Linked DNA regions of Rattus norvegicus. The protein of the gene in region 2 purifies or fractionates together with the protein of the main gene of each other region. This does not show direct contact. Links are inferred from orthologs where the notes say so. Each region holds a gene or a part of one and is shown on either strand. Other genes may lie near its edges.

Region 1 (6,491 bases), on a different chromosome or scaffold from region 2:
GCCAATCTGGTCTACAGAGAGAGTTCCATTAACAGCCAGGGCTACACAGAGAAAACAGGTCTCAAAAAAACAAACAAAAACTAACCAAACCAACAACAAAACAAAACAAACAGAAAGAAAGCATGGTTGTATAAACAAGGGCAACTATCAAATAAAACACAAGGCGTCTCAGTATGGATGAAAACAGCCAGGGATCCCTTGAAAACCCAAAAACGACTGCTCTCAGCTGCAAGAGGGTGTATCTAGAAAGCTGTGAGGTTGGTAATGGTGGAAGGCCATTTTACCTATCTGATGTCATTTAATAATATGCAGTAAATGAAGAAAGGCCAGGGATAGGACCTCGTGGCTCTCGCCTAGTCAACTCCCTTCACAGTACGTCACAGGTGTAACCCTACCCAGAGCCAGCAGACAGAGATGCAAAATGGCACTTACTTTTTGGCAAGTCTCCAGTACTGGAGGCTGAAACTGTCCTGCTTCTGTCACGGGATGGACTGCTTTCCTCTGGCTCGGTGAGTGGTGATCCCTCTGACAGCACAGAGTCAGAGGCCACAGGTTCTAAGGGCCCAGAAAACAGCGGTGTGGGAAACTCTGGACTCTTAGGCTGTCCGTTTGGCAATTCACCATTGAATTGTTCATAGGAGCTGCTATACGTATAATCACTCTCCGCATTTGGTTCATCCAGGTTATACTCCTCGGGGTTTGCACAGTCATCTTCCTCATCCTCTTCATCCTCCAGCTGCTGCTCCAGTAAAAACAGGCCATTTTCAATATGGCCGTTGGCCTTAGGGGACTCCATCCACGTAGGGTCTATGTTCTCAAGTTCCTGTTCAACATCATCTTCATCCTTCTCAGTGTTTTCCTTCTCTGTGTCTTCTTTCTCTTCCTGGTCTTCAACTTCACCTTAAAGAAGATGGGGTTAAGACTGGAGTCGACTCTCCATGCACAGTAGCACTATAGGCCTCACACAGGAGAGCCTCTTCTTTAACTCAGATCCGCCTGCCTCTGCCTCTGCATCCCGAGCTCTGGGCTCCTTGATCCTGAGCATGCACCACCACACCCGGCTAGGAGGCAACTCAGACAGATCCCAGAACACGCCTTTTGCTTGTCAAGGCAAGGCGGCATTCTAAATCTTGTTTCTGTTTATTCAGTAATGAGTCCTCTAGCCAGGGACAGGTTAGCTCTGGGGAAATTACAAGTAAAGCTGGATTTTCACTTTAGTCCCTTCTTTTTCAAAGAAGCTTACTGTACCTGATCTTTAAGGTGCTCACTTTTCAACTGTGTGTGAACACATTCATGAGCCCTCACAGCTACAGTTACAAGAGGCTGTGAGCACCATGACACTGGAGGAACTGGGAGCCAAGCTCCTCTGCACTACTGATCCATTCTCCAGCCATTAACCCTCTCTTCTGTCGCCTTAGAAGATCTGTGCTCCCCAGCTCCGAAAAAAAGAAAAAAGAGAGAAAAAAAAAAAAAAAAAAAGAAGATCTATGCTGCATTAAAGTTAGGCAAAGGCCTAATTACAGAATAAGGAAAGGGTCATCATTAACACTAGGGTGCTTCTCAGACATCCTCCGCCCCTTCTCACACCCCTGCTTTGTGACGTAACATGCGCTTAGCAGAGTTTCACAAATGAACTATGCTGCCCCCATCATCCCCAAGGAGAGGTAGAGAAAGCCGTCCTTAGTGACTGAGGTGGCAGCTCAGATACTCTCAGACGCTCTCAGAAATGACCCCGTGTGAAGCTCCCGCACGCGACCAGCCCTCCCTCCTGCTCTGAGTTGGACTAACCATTGTCCTTTGCTGTCTCTTCCTCAGTTGTGTCCTCTAACTCGGCCTCTTTCAGTTTCACCTCAGGCTGGCATTCTCCATCTTGCTCACTGGAAGCTTCTGCAGAGGTGGTGTTCTCTTCTAGGATTTTCCTTTCGGCTTCTCTCTCCAATTCCTCAATCTCCTGCAGGCGCTTCTCCAGCAACTCAGCCTGCCTCTTCTGTTTCTTTTTTAGCTTTTTCTTTTTGTTTTTAGATATTTTTCCTATCTACAACATGGTAAGAGAGTATGTGTCAGGCGGGAGTATGACACCTTGGATCAGAAAAGCACTCTTTAAAACACTCCTTACGAGTTGAAATGTTGGTAACACAGTAACTGCTTTTCCAGGACACACTCAGCTTTCCTCACTAACCCAGCCACGAGAGCCACCTCAGGGGAGGACTGTGCTCACACGGTTAGTCTCCCCTAACTTCTATGAGGAAAGTAGGAGAGCTGAGCTCCGTGAAATACCTGGCTGTGAGCAAGAATCTTCTCTTGCAAGCTTTCCTTGCTGCTGGCTGTATCCAGAATCCTTAACGACAAAAACAAGCACCTGCCCAGACCAGTGCCAACAGCACTGTGTCTGCATGTGGCTCTGACACCAAGCTGTGAACACCATGGACTTTCAGAAATCAGTAGACGATAGAAAGAAGGGAAAAAAGGAAAAGCCACGGTTTTCTGTGCCTCAAGCTACAGCCATAAGTCTTGGAAAGCCCTGGCTAGGAGGGTCTGCAAAGTTTCTCAGACCCATAAACCCAAACCTAAGGCTCAGGGGAGAGCTATGAACATGATCTGGGGGCTGGAGAGATGGCTCAGTGGTTAAGAGCACTGCCTGTTCTTTCAGAGGTCCTGAGTTCAATTCCCAGCAACCACATGGTGACTCACAACCATCTGTAATGGGATCTGATGCCCTCTTCTGGTGTGTCTGAAGAGAGAAGACAGTGTACTCACATACATAAATAATTTTTTTAAAAGTGATTTGGACTCCCCCGTAACAATTCAGACTTGGAACTGTCTTGATTTGACAGGATCACAGAACAGATAATGATCCTTCTCACTTAAACAGCTAGCTATAAAAAATTAAAATGTTTTTTGGCAAAACAGGATACTTGGAGGCCAGGCAGAAGTCATTTAAAAAAGATTCTGGAACAATTAGATTTTAAATTTGAACTAAAGCCTTGCAATTCACCGAACTCAGCCAACAGCAGCCAAGAGAGCCCAGGGGGAGACTGGCTTTGACTGTTCCCGTCCACAGCAGGAAGTCATGCCCTATATAATGACAGAGCATTTACAAACATGCGCCTCTAAATTAGTGAAGACTATGACATTTGCTACACAGTTTGTGCAGCTCAGGAACAAACAGTCCCTCCTGACATGCTGGCCACACGTAAATACGGTCCCTCCTGACATGCTGATCACACGTAAATACTTACAGGTTTCTGCTGTGGAGCCGTACTCACTAAAACAAAATAAAACAAAACGGATGATCAGAGGAAGACAGGCACTGTTGGGTAATTTGATTTGCAAACTGAGATAATACTGCCTTTTAATAACTACCCAACTTTGAACAACTTTCACCTCAGAGATTGCTAAAGATAGGAACCTGGCAAAAGCTTATGCAATTCAAACAGACTGCGCAGCTCCAGGCCGCAGGAGACGCTGTGCACGTGAAGCACTTTTCTTGCAAACAGCCTCTCTCAAAGCACTGACAAAATAATTACAGAGGAAAAGAAAAAGAAATGGAAGAGCTTACAAGCCAGTCACATAACGGAACATGTTTTGCATATGAGGCAATGGACATGCTAGCTAGCGAAGAAGGTGCACAGCCATGTCTGAAGACTACACGGAAAGCACCACACACGTGAACTAGGGCACACAGTGCAGCACACTGTGCAGTGGCTCCAGAACTCGGCCTGGCAGCATCAGAAGCTTCATAAACGGGCTGCGTGAGGTGAGGTGATGACATCACCATGGTGCTCGTGATGAGGCGGCAGCGCTTCTTTCTGGAGCCCTGTCAGTCAGCCAGAGGGAAGCACACCCACTCCAATCTCCATCCCAATCTCCCCAATGAAGCCTCTCAACTTCCCAAGAGAAACGACGCTAGTGCTCATGTCCCTGCTTCCCTTTCTAGCTCCCCACCCTGGAGCTTCCACAGCCAACACCAAACTATTGGCTAAACTGAGATGGAAGCAGGTATAGTAGTTAAGGAAAGAAAACATTTGTTATAAAACCCAAATCAGGAAAAAAAAAAATCAGAAGTCTGCAGGTCGGCTACAAGAAACTGGTCGTATACTCTCCATAGAAACTTGGACCACACGGGAGCGTGCACCTACGTGATGAAGCCTTTGAGAACGAGCAAAGGTAACAGAAGACAAAGAGTTAAAAGAATGAACTCAAACCTCATCTTAAGCAAAAGCATCTTCAACATCTAAACTCTTAGAAAAAGTTCCTAATGCGTATGTGCACGTCAGACACACGGCCTTCACTAAAGAGCTTTAGAAGCTCACAGCCCCAAGCAGACAGAGCAATGAGGGCTCAGCCCCTCACCTGCAGACCCAGAAGGAGGAGGAGCACCTGCTTTCTGCCACTCCGTAGCCTCGGCCGCCATTCTCCGCACGTACGCGCCGTCCACACACATCAGGATGTTCTCCGGCTTGATATCAGTGTGGATTATCTTGCACTTGCTGTGTAGATAGTCTAAGCCCTGAAGGACCTGGTCACGGTAAAGCAAACAGGACCCCTAGTGCTTCAGTCCATGACTTACTAAGCCTAAGCCATGCAATGCCTCCATATGCAGCTGGAATACACTTTAGAGACATTTACTCTAAAAATGGAGTTTCCTCACAGGCAACCAATGTCATCACTTCAGAATTCAGTTATGCTCGCAGACATAATGCCCTTGATAAGAATTTTATATGCAATAAGTCCAGGGCTTCAGAGCTTTGCCAGAGGCCTTAGGGTCACATGTATCTTACCACTGTCTCCAAGCCCAGTTCCAGTATACCGGTGTCACAGTACACAGTGCCCAGTACACAGTGTCACCTCTGTGGGCACAAGGTACACAGTGTACAGACCCCACAAAGGCAGACATTCATACATAGAAAATAAAAGCGAATGCATCTTTTAAAATTTCAAATCTACATTATCGCGTTTATTAATATGATACTACCTAATTCAGAACATCTGCGTCAGTCCATAAAGAAATCCCACAGACATGAGTAGTGGCTTCCCCTCTCCCTCCACCTCTGACAGTCCTAACCACAAGGCTATGTGCCTGACTCATGTAAAGAGGTCTCTGTGCTCGGGTAAACATGTCCAATGTCCATGCACTCATGAGCCTGTGAGTGACCCAGAAATCAACAGTAGATGGATTCCTTAAAGGCTCCCCATCCCCCTACCCACTTTTTTTAAATTGAAAAATACTGGTTTTTCTTACTGAACCTGGAACTCACCAATTTGGTTAGAATGGCTGCCCAGTAAGCCTCAAGAAGCCCTGTCTCTTCCTCACCAGTGCTGGGATTTCAGACACACACCAGCACACCAGGCCTTTTAGATCTAAGGGCCCGAGTTCCGAGTCCCAGAACCCTATAAAGGCCACCCTCGTCCCAAGTGCTCTTTTCTACCTGGCATCATGACGGAGGCACATGCTGGGTAGCACACACCAGCTAGTCACTTCCTGTATTGCTGAACAATGTCCCCTCTGCAGACACATGGCACTCTTTAAGGATTACTCCTTCTTATTTAGTATGTGTGTGTTTTGTCTGCATGTATGAATGTGGCACCACATATATGACCCAAGTTAAAATGGTCATAAGCTACCACGTGGGTGCTGGGAAACAAACTCAGGTTCTCTGTAAGAGTAGCCAGCGCTCTTGACCACTGGGCCCCAGCCTGCAAATGGCATTTTCTTTATTTATTTGCTCAATGGGAATCTCAACCGTTTCTGCTCCCTGACGATTGGAGGTAACACCTCCATACACATCCACGTGCACATTTTCCTGTGGCTCTTCGTGGTGACATACTGAGGAGATCAGTGCTGAGCTACATGGCAACTACGGTCAGCCTAACGACAGGCTCTACCGTTTACCGCGACAGCAGAGCCAGCCTACCAACCTACAGTACAAGCTGTGTGTAAGAGTTCTAATCCCTTCATCTCATCCGAAACTATGGTCTTCTTAAGTTGTCTCTGCTCTCCTGGGCACAAAGCTGTGCTTCATTTCTGCTGGGTTTGGCGCTTTCCGGGTTTGTGTTTCTTTTTATTTTTGCTTATTTTTGAGACAGGGCCTCACTGTGCTGCCCAGACTAGTCTTGAACTTGTAAGTTCAAGCAAACCTTCTACCTTATGTTTATTTTCAATGCTTCAGGAAAGGAAAATTTTTATTTAAGTAAAAATAGCCTTAGTTTCTCTACAACACTGCAAGCTTAAGAACAATCCCTGCTCAACGGAGACGACAGCACTGAGGAGTTAGAGGAGCAGACCAGGGCCTCCTCAGCTGCTTCCTGACTCCACGGGGCTGCATAAAACCCCAACTTCAAAAAACAATCTGAATAGAAACATTTAGAGCAAACCAAAGCTTATTTGGTGCCACCTGACATGAAAGTAAAGCCCACGTTTTCTGGAATTATCCCCATTGAAGAAGAATCCTTAAAATAATTTCCAAAATTAAAATCTATTTTGAAATGTT
Region 2 (6,491 bases):
ATTGAGCAGGTGGTATGTAAGGCAGGTGTTCAGACTTGTCTGCTCAGAACTATATCCATGATTCAGTATACATCCCTTTGCTCAATGCAATTTGCCATGAGATTGGCAATTCTGAGTGGCCCACTAGAAGATCAGTCATAGCCTTTATCAAGCTTGGAAATTTCTGCATCCTGATTTAAATAACTATCACCATATAAAACCTAGGATTCTTAAGTTAACATTGTCAGAGTAAGAGCCCTAAACAAATCTCCTGGTCTCTTCTTATGGAAAAGAGAAGGTGAGGAAAAATTGAGACAAAGAAACACAATGTTTTTTCCCATCTGGAAACTGAGCTAACTTTCATAAGCTGTATCCTGCCATGTGCCAATACAAACCAAGAAATCAGTGGAAGGAATTCAAAGAACAGAGTCTCAGGGACTCTGAGGAGATGGCTCAGTGAGTAGGTAAGGGTGCTTGCACAAGTACAGGGAGCAGAGCCCAAACCCTCAGCACCCACATAAAAAGCCAGGTGTGGCCATGTATTCCTATGTTTAACCCCTGTGTTGTGGGGGCAGAGACAGGCCAAATCCTAGGGCTTGCTGTTTCCCAGTCTAGCTCCAGTTTTAGTGAGCTACTTTTTCCCAAGAGTAAGGCAGGAAGTCACAGAGCAGGGTACCTGACATCCTTCTTGGGCCTCTATAAGCATGTATTCTCATATACACAGGAGCGTACATACCAAGATGTAACTTTTCTATGTTTTTCTATTTCCATCCCTCCTTCCTGGTCTTTTTATGTCATGCAAACTAGCTTCTAACTCAACAATCTTCTTGCCTCAGCCTCCCAAACCCTGGGATTATAGTTGTGCTCTAAACTTCTCAATAAAGAGTTTTTGTAAACAAACCTTCAAATGAGACTTTATTCTGCATCTGGTAGGGATTACACCTAGGGCCTTATACAGGCCAGGCAAGAAACTAACCACTGAACTGTAACTCCCAGTTCCCAAATTTCTGAAGGATCACTAGGAAAGACTTATTAAGAGAAAGGAGGAGAGCAAATAACCACTCCTTCCTCACCACTCCAGAGTTTTCTTTGTATATTTCCCAGTGCTATGGGGTTCTTTTCTAAGAGTTTTAGCATTCTTACCTGTAACAGCTTCTTTCTCCTCTTCTAATTTGCTGTGGTGGGGAAACCAGGTACCCAAGTTTGTTGGAACTGTGAAAGGTTTAAAACAAAACAGAACTGAGTATTTATTTTTCTTAGGTGTAACGTATCATTATTACAGTACATTATAACCAGTCAGTGCATTTTAACTTCCTTTGAAGTTTCCTAATCTTAAACTTAATTATATAATTTTAGTGTTTAGCAAGGCTCTATGTAGGTATCTCACATGCTCAAGTAGAATACTTTTTGAGTGCAAACAATGAGAAAATAGAAGTTGAAGAGGAACCTATACACTCACAGTCCTGTACCCAGTAACGATGCCAACTCCACTGTGTCTGTCCCTACATCCACACACAGGTGCACCTGTCTCTAAACTTCACATGCTTTCTTTTTTTTTTTTTTTCTTTCTGGTTTTGTGTTTTTATTGGGGTTTATTATAGGCAGGAGGAACTGCCACCATAAAGTATGCCCCTCCCACCAAGCAGGTCCGTTCTAATCCTCCTCCTGTGCCTTCTGCGACTTTTTCTTTTTCTTTGTGCGGCTCTTTGTGCAGCTTGCAGCAGCCTCAGGCTCCTCAGAGAATTCCCTTTTCTTCTGAGGGGCATATGCTTTCTAATGATATGTTCTACTAGCCTCTCATCAGTCTATTTTCTCTACAAGAAATTTGGTTTATCTTTTCAAACAAAAGAAAACAAAATTTAGTATGTAAGCTTCATAGAAATGTCTATGTAATTCATAGAAATAAATCAGAATATTAATTTAAAAAATACTTGAATTTATGTGTATGAGCATTCTGCCTACATGTATGTCTGTGTACCAGGTCCATGCAAATGGTAGCTGCAGAGTTTCGGAGAGGGCATTAGATACCCTAGAGCTGAGATAAAGACAGTTGTGGGTGCTGGGAACCAAATCCAGGTCCTCTTGGAGATGAAATGCTCTTAATTAATTAGTCATCTCTCCAGACCAAATCTAATAATTTTTAATGCCATAAAGCATCAGCAAAGTCACATCCTATAGATTTTAATAACTATTAACAAGTCAGAAAAAAATGAGATTAATGTGGTAGACATTAATCTTACAATGTTTTTATTTACTAAATTGAATTTTGATCATTCAAATTAAGACAGAAAGAGTTCAACTGTTTAAAAAAGTGAAGAATCGGGTTGGGGATTTAGCTCAGCGGTAGAGCGCTTGCCTAGCGAGCGCAAGGCCCTGGGTTCGGTCCCCAGCTCCGGAAAAAAAGAAAAAAAAAAAAAAAAAAAAGTGAAGAATCTAGAAAATTTAAATATGGGATCAATTTACTAATTTGAGGTCCAATCAAGATCCAAATGTACTAAATGCAGAAAAGAGCTTAAAAATTTGTTATTTCATTGTTTTGGAAAAGAATTGCAATGTGACCTCTGAAATGGGTTTAAAGTTCATGAGCCCATTTATTGTGGACTTTTGAGATTTTTCAGATAGCAATCTGAAATATTTTTAGACCGCATAAAAGTACTGGAAGAAATAAGAAAATGGTGTTGTGAACACATAAAGTGTGATTAAAAGTCTATTTAATTGTTTCTTTTGAAACCACAAAACATCTAAAGTTAAAATTTATTGAGCTCCATAGACAATACACAGCACCATCTGGTCAAGAGAAGTCAAGATGCAGCATCAGATCAAGACTGGATAAGATTGATCATTATGCACACAGTGCCACTGTGACTCTGAAGGTGGCTTCTGTTGGGAAAGGCTACACAGCACGCACCTAAGACTGCTGCTGCTCTCTATATGCAGCTTGCCTTTGCTCAACTGGCTATCAGATACTTTCACCATATAGAACCAACTATGTTACTAGGGGAAGGTCAGTCAATACACTGGGGAGTCAAAAATGATGGGCGGTAGCAAAGCTCCAGAGCAGAATATGTTCCTAACTTAGGTATTCCCTGTGCTGAAGCCCTGCACTCAATTCCTAGTAACACACACCATACACACATCCATATATACAAACACACATCCATACACAGACTTATGTGTACATTTTCTCTTGTATAAATTTGTCTCCAACCAAGCTTTTCAAACAGCATTATTTTCAGAAAATAATTCAACATATAAATCTGAATTTGTGTTCTAAAAACTATCTACTAGGACTGGAGAGATGGCTCAGTGGTTAAGAGCACTAACTGCTCTTCCAGAGGTCCTGAGTTCAAATCCCAACAACCACATAGTGGGGGTCACAACCATCTGTAATGGAATCTGATGCCCTCCCTCTTCTGGTGTGCGTCTGAAGTCAGCTGCAGTGTACTCATATAAATAAAAATAAATAAATCTTAAAAGACAAAAACAAAAACAACCCTGTACTAATTTGGCATATTTAAAGAGGTTTACAATAAAAAGCATTCAGCAAGAGCCTGTCTGATATGAAGTTGCCACATTTTAGTTCAAAGGCAAGTATCTGAGGTTATTTTGAATATACTTACTGTTCCCAACCTGGTCGACCACCACCTGGACGAGCAGCATTTATTCTTACTGGACCTTATAAACAAAACAAAAATGATGAATAAGAAATTCAATGCTATTTATTTCCTAAAGGGAAAAAGATCCAAATCAAAATTAATTTTACTCACCAGTTGTGGGTATTAACTGTCCATGCAATAATGACTGTCCCAACAAAGATGGAGTCCCAAGGACTGGCACCTGGTAACCCTTTAGGAATAAGCACATACACACAAAACAAGAATAGTTAAAGTTTTAAAAAGTCAAAGCAAAAATGAAAAAAAAAATGTATATTGTTAAAAAAAAACAACCCTCCATTATAAAGGCAGTACAGTCTACCTTTTCTTCCATAAGAGCAGTAATAGCAATTGAGGACGCTCCCTTTGAGTGTTCTGATGCAAGGGCGGCAGCTGGTAATAGTTTATTATCAGAATCCCTAGAAAACAGTGTAACATAAGAAAACGTCACCATAGTGGATGATGATGAGTAAAATGACAACTATCAGTAATACTGCTTATCTATTATATCTATACCCAGCATATGAGTTAGTGATAATGATTGTATATGAGGAAAGTCAAAGGCCTGGGCCGGTAAAGAGCTCTCTGTGCATAACATAAGCGGTGGGCCAGCGAGATGCTTTAGGAGGAGGCATTCCATGAGACCTAACAACAGAAACTTGACCCTCAAAACCCTACAAGATGGCACTAGAGAATCAAGTCCCTATAGTTGTCCTCTATCTCTACCCACATAGCTGGGGTTGCCACACTCCTGCATATACACTAAAAAAAGATGGAATTGCCTGAAAAAAATACTACATACGATAATATGATAGAAAAATAAGTGCAGAAATATAAAACTTCAAAATACTGCTACTCTTTAATATAGTTTCTCATGTTGTGACCTCCAAACATAAAATTATTTGTTAATCCTTCCTAAGTATAATTTTGCTTCTGTTATGAATCATAATGCAAATAACTGTGTTTTCCAGTGGTCTTAGGCAACCTGTGAAGGGTCAGTCAACTTCCCTTCAGTTTCAGGTCAGTTTCAACCCACAAGTTAAGAACCAATCACTGCTCTAAGAGCAGTCTTTGTATTATTTCCTTTACTGATTAAATAAAGGCTAAACTCGAACAGTGGGTATTTTTATATATGTAAAGGTTTCACCTTTAAAATTTTCTTTCAGTATCTATGAAACAAAACCTGACACCTGTGTTTTGTTAGATTTTTATGTAAATGACTGCTCTATCTGCATGCACACCTGCACGCCAGAAGAGGGCATCAGATCCCAGGCTACATGGTTGTGAGCTACCATGTGGTTGCCTGAAAATTGAACTCAGAACCTCTGGAAGAACAGACAATACTCTTAACTACCGAGCCATCTTTCCAGTCCCCAAAGCTGGCTAGTTGTTAAGAGAATGCATGTGTTAGTGGACCACAAAATCCACTGTTGCTTTCAGGAGGTCACCACAACTTATTCTTTCTTTCTTCCCATCCCCCTTCCCTATGGTCTTTCTAGATATGATTTTTCTGTGAAGCCCTGGCTGTTCTGGAAGTCAGAAATCCTCCCGCCTTTTCTTCCTGAGTCGTGGGATTGAACACATATGCTGCCACTGCTAGGCTAAAATTTTGTATTTTAGTAAGCACAGGGGTCCATTAAAGAAGGTGATACTTTAGGGGCTGGAGAGATAGATCAGAGGTTAAGAGCATCACTTGCTGTCCTAGGACCCAGGCTTTATTCCCAGCACTCATATAACAGCTCACAATCATCTGTAACTCAGTTCTAATTAAGGGTTCCAACACCCGCCTTTGCGACTGCAGACATAAATGCAGACAAAACACCCATACATATAAAAATAATAAAATTAGAAAAAAAAACGACTTTTAACTTAGCAACCAGGAAGGAGGCAGGCGGAGGTAAATCTCTGAATTTAGAGGCCAGATTGGGTCTACATAGTGAGACTGTACCTCAAAAATAATAACTATTATCAAAGGAAAATCCTTTTGTTTTCAATAATAAGACATATAGTAGACTTACCGAAAAGGCCCATCGGATTTTTCTGAGTGGACTGATATAGATACTGTTGCAGTTATATCAGGCACTGGAGCTGGGGCAGAAGATGGGTTGCCAGGCACGGAAGGAGCCAAGGAGGATGGATTTGAAGTTAATGAAGATATAGAGGGAGTTGAGTGAGCTGAGGAAGATGTCACTGGAATCATCAGAGGATCCTGCTGTCTTGATATGGGAGATCTCATCAGAGGTTGCAGGTTCCGCTGAATGAGTGGTCTTGGCGCTGATATTGGAGGTGGGGGTGGAGGTAACTGTTTTCGTAGTCTTTTTGTATAGCCAGTTTCATTTTTGAAGTTATTAACAGCCTATTATAGACATCAAACACAAAAATGCAGAATAAATAACGTATCACTCATTTCAATGAGTTCAATCGGTAAAAATGTTAAAGATATTTTTTTGTGTAAAAAAAAAAAAACAGTATAAAAGCTACCTGTCGTAAAAACTTGTTGGCAATTAAAGCATCAGGAGAAACATCATTTTGATGACATGTTGGACATGTATGCTCATCTGACTCCAGGAGTGCTGTCCTTATACCTATGTATGATAAGATGTTAAACATGAACTGGCACAGTAGCAACTTGGTGTTGACATAATGAATTAATGATACCTCCCAGGCCTAAACCATGAGACTGTCTCAAAAACAAACAAACAAAAAAAGTAACTTTATCGACATGATTGTGAGCTACTATGTGGTACTTGGAACTGAACTTGGGTCTGCTGAAACATCGGCCAGCACTTAATAGATGAGCCATCTCTCCAGTCCCAAACAGTTTTTTTTTTCTTTTTTCTTTTTTCCGGAGCTGGGGAC

Evidence for each region. Proteins that work in one complex are often made in the same cells at the same time.
Region 1: the proteins of Rbbp6 (region 2) and Srpk2 purify together in Homo sapiens (affinity purification with mass spectrometry; 4 studies listed by BioGRID and IntAct, with this or other methods). This does not show direct contact. The link is inferred for Rattus norvegicus from reciprocal best matches to the Homo sapiens genes RBBP6 and SRPK2.

Annotation. Positions count from the first base shown.
Region 1 is NC_086022.1:12,522,568-12,529,058, reverse strand, and holds part of Srpk2 (SRSF protein kinase 2), read right to left. Parts: intron 4,520-6,491; coding exon 4,354-4,519; intron 3,266-4,353; coding exon 3,240-3,265; intron 2,036-3,239; coding exon 1,789-2,035; intron 901-1,788; coding exon 433-900; intron 1-432. UniProt on the Homo sapiens protein: Serine/arginine-rich protein-specific kinase which specifically phosphorylates its substrates at serine residues located in regions rich in arginine/serine dipeptides, known as RS domains and is involved in the phosphorylation of SR splicing factors and the regulation of splicing.
Region 2 is NC_086019.1:186,954,068-186,960,558, reverse strand, and holds part of Rbbp6 (E3 ubiquitin-protein ligase RBBP6), read right to left. Parts: intron 6,218-6,491; coding exon 6,114-6,217; intron 5,989-6,113; coding exon 5,651-5,988; intron 4,052-5,650; coding exon 3,955-4,051; intron 3,826-3,954; coding exon 3,747-3,825; intron 3,655-3,746; coding exon 3,600-3,654; intron 1,192-3,599; coding exon 1,123-1,191; intron 1-1,122. UniProt on the Homo sapiens protein: E3 ubiquitin-protein ligase which promotes ubiquitination of YBX1, leading to its degradation by the proteasome.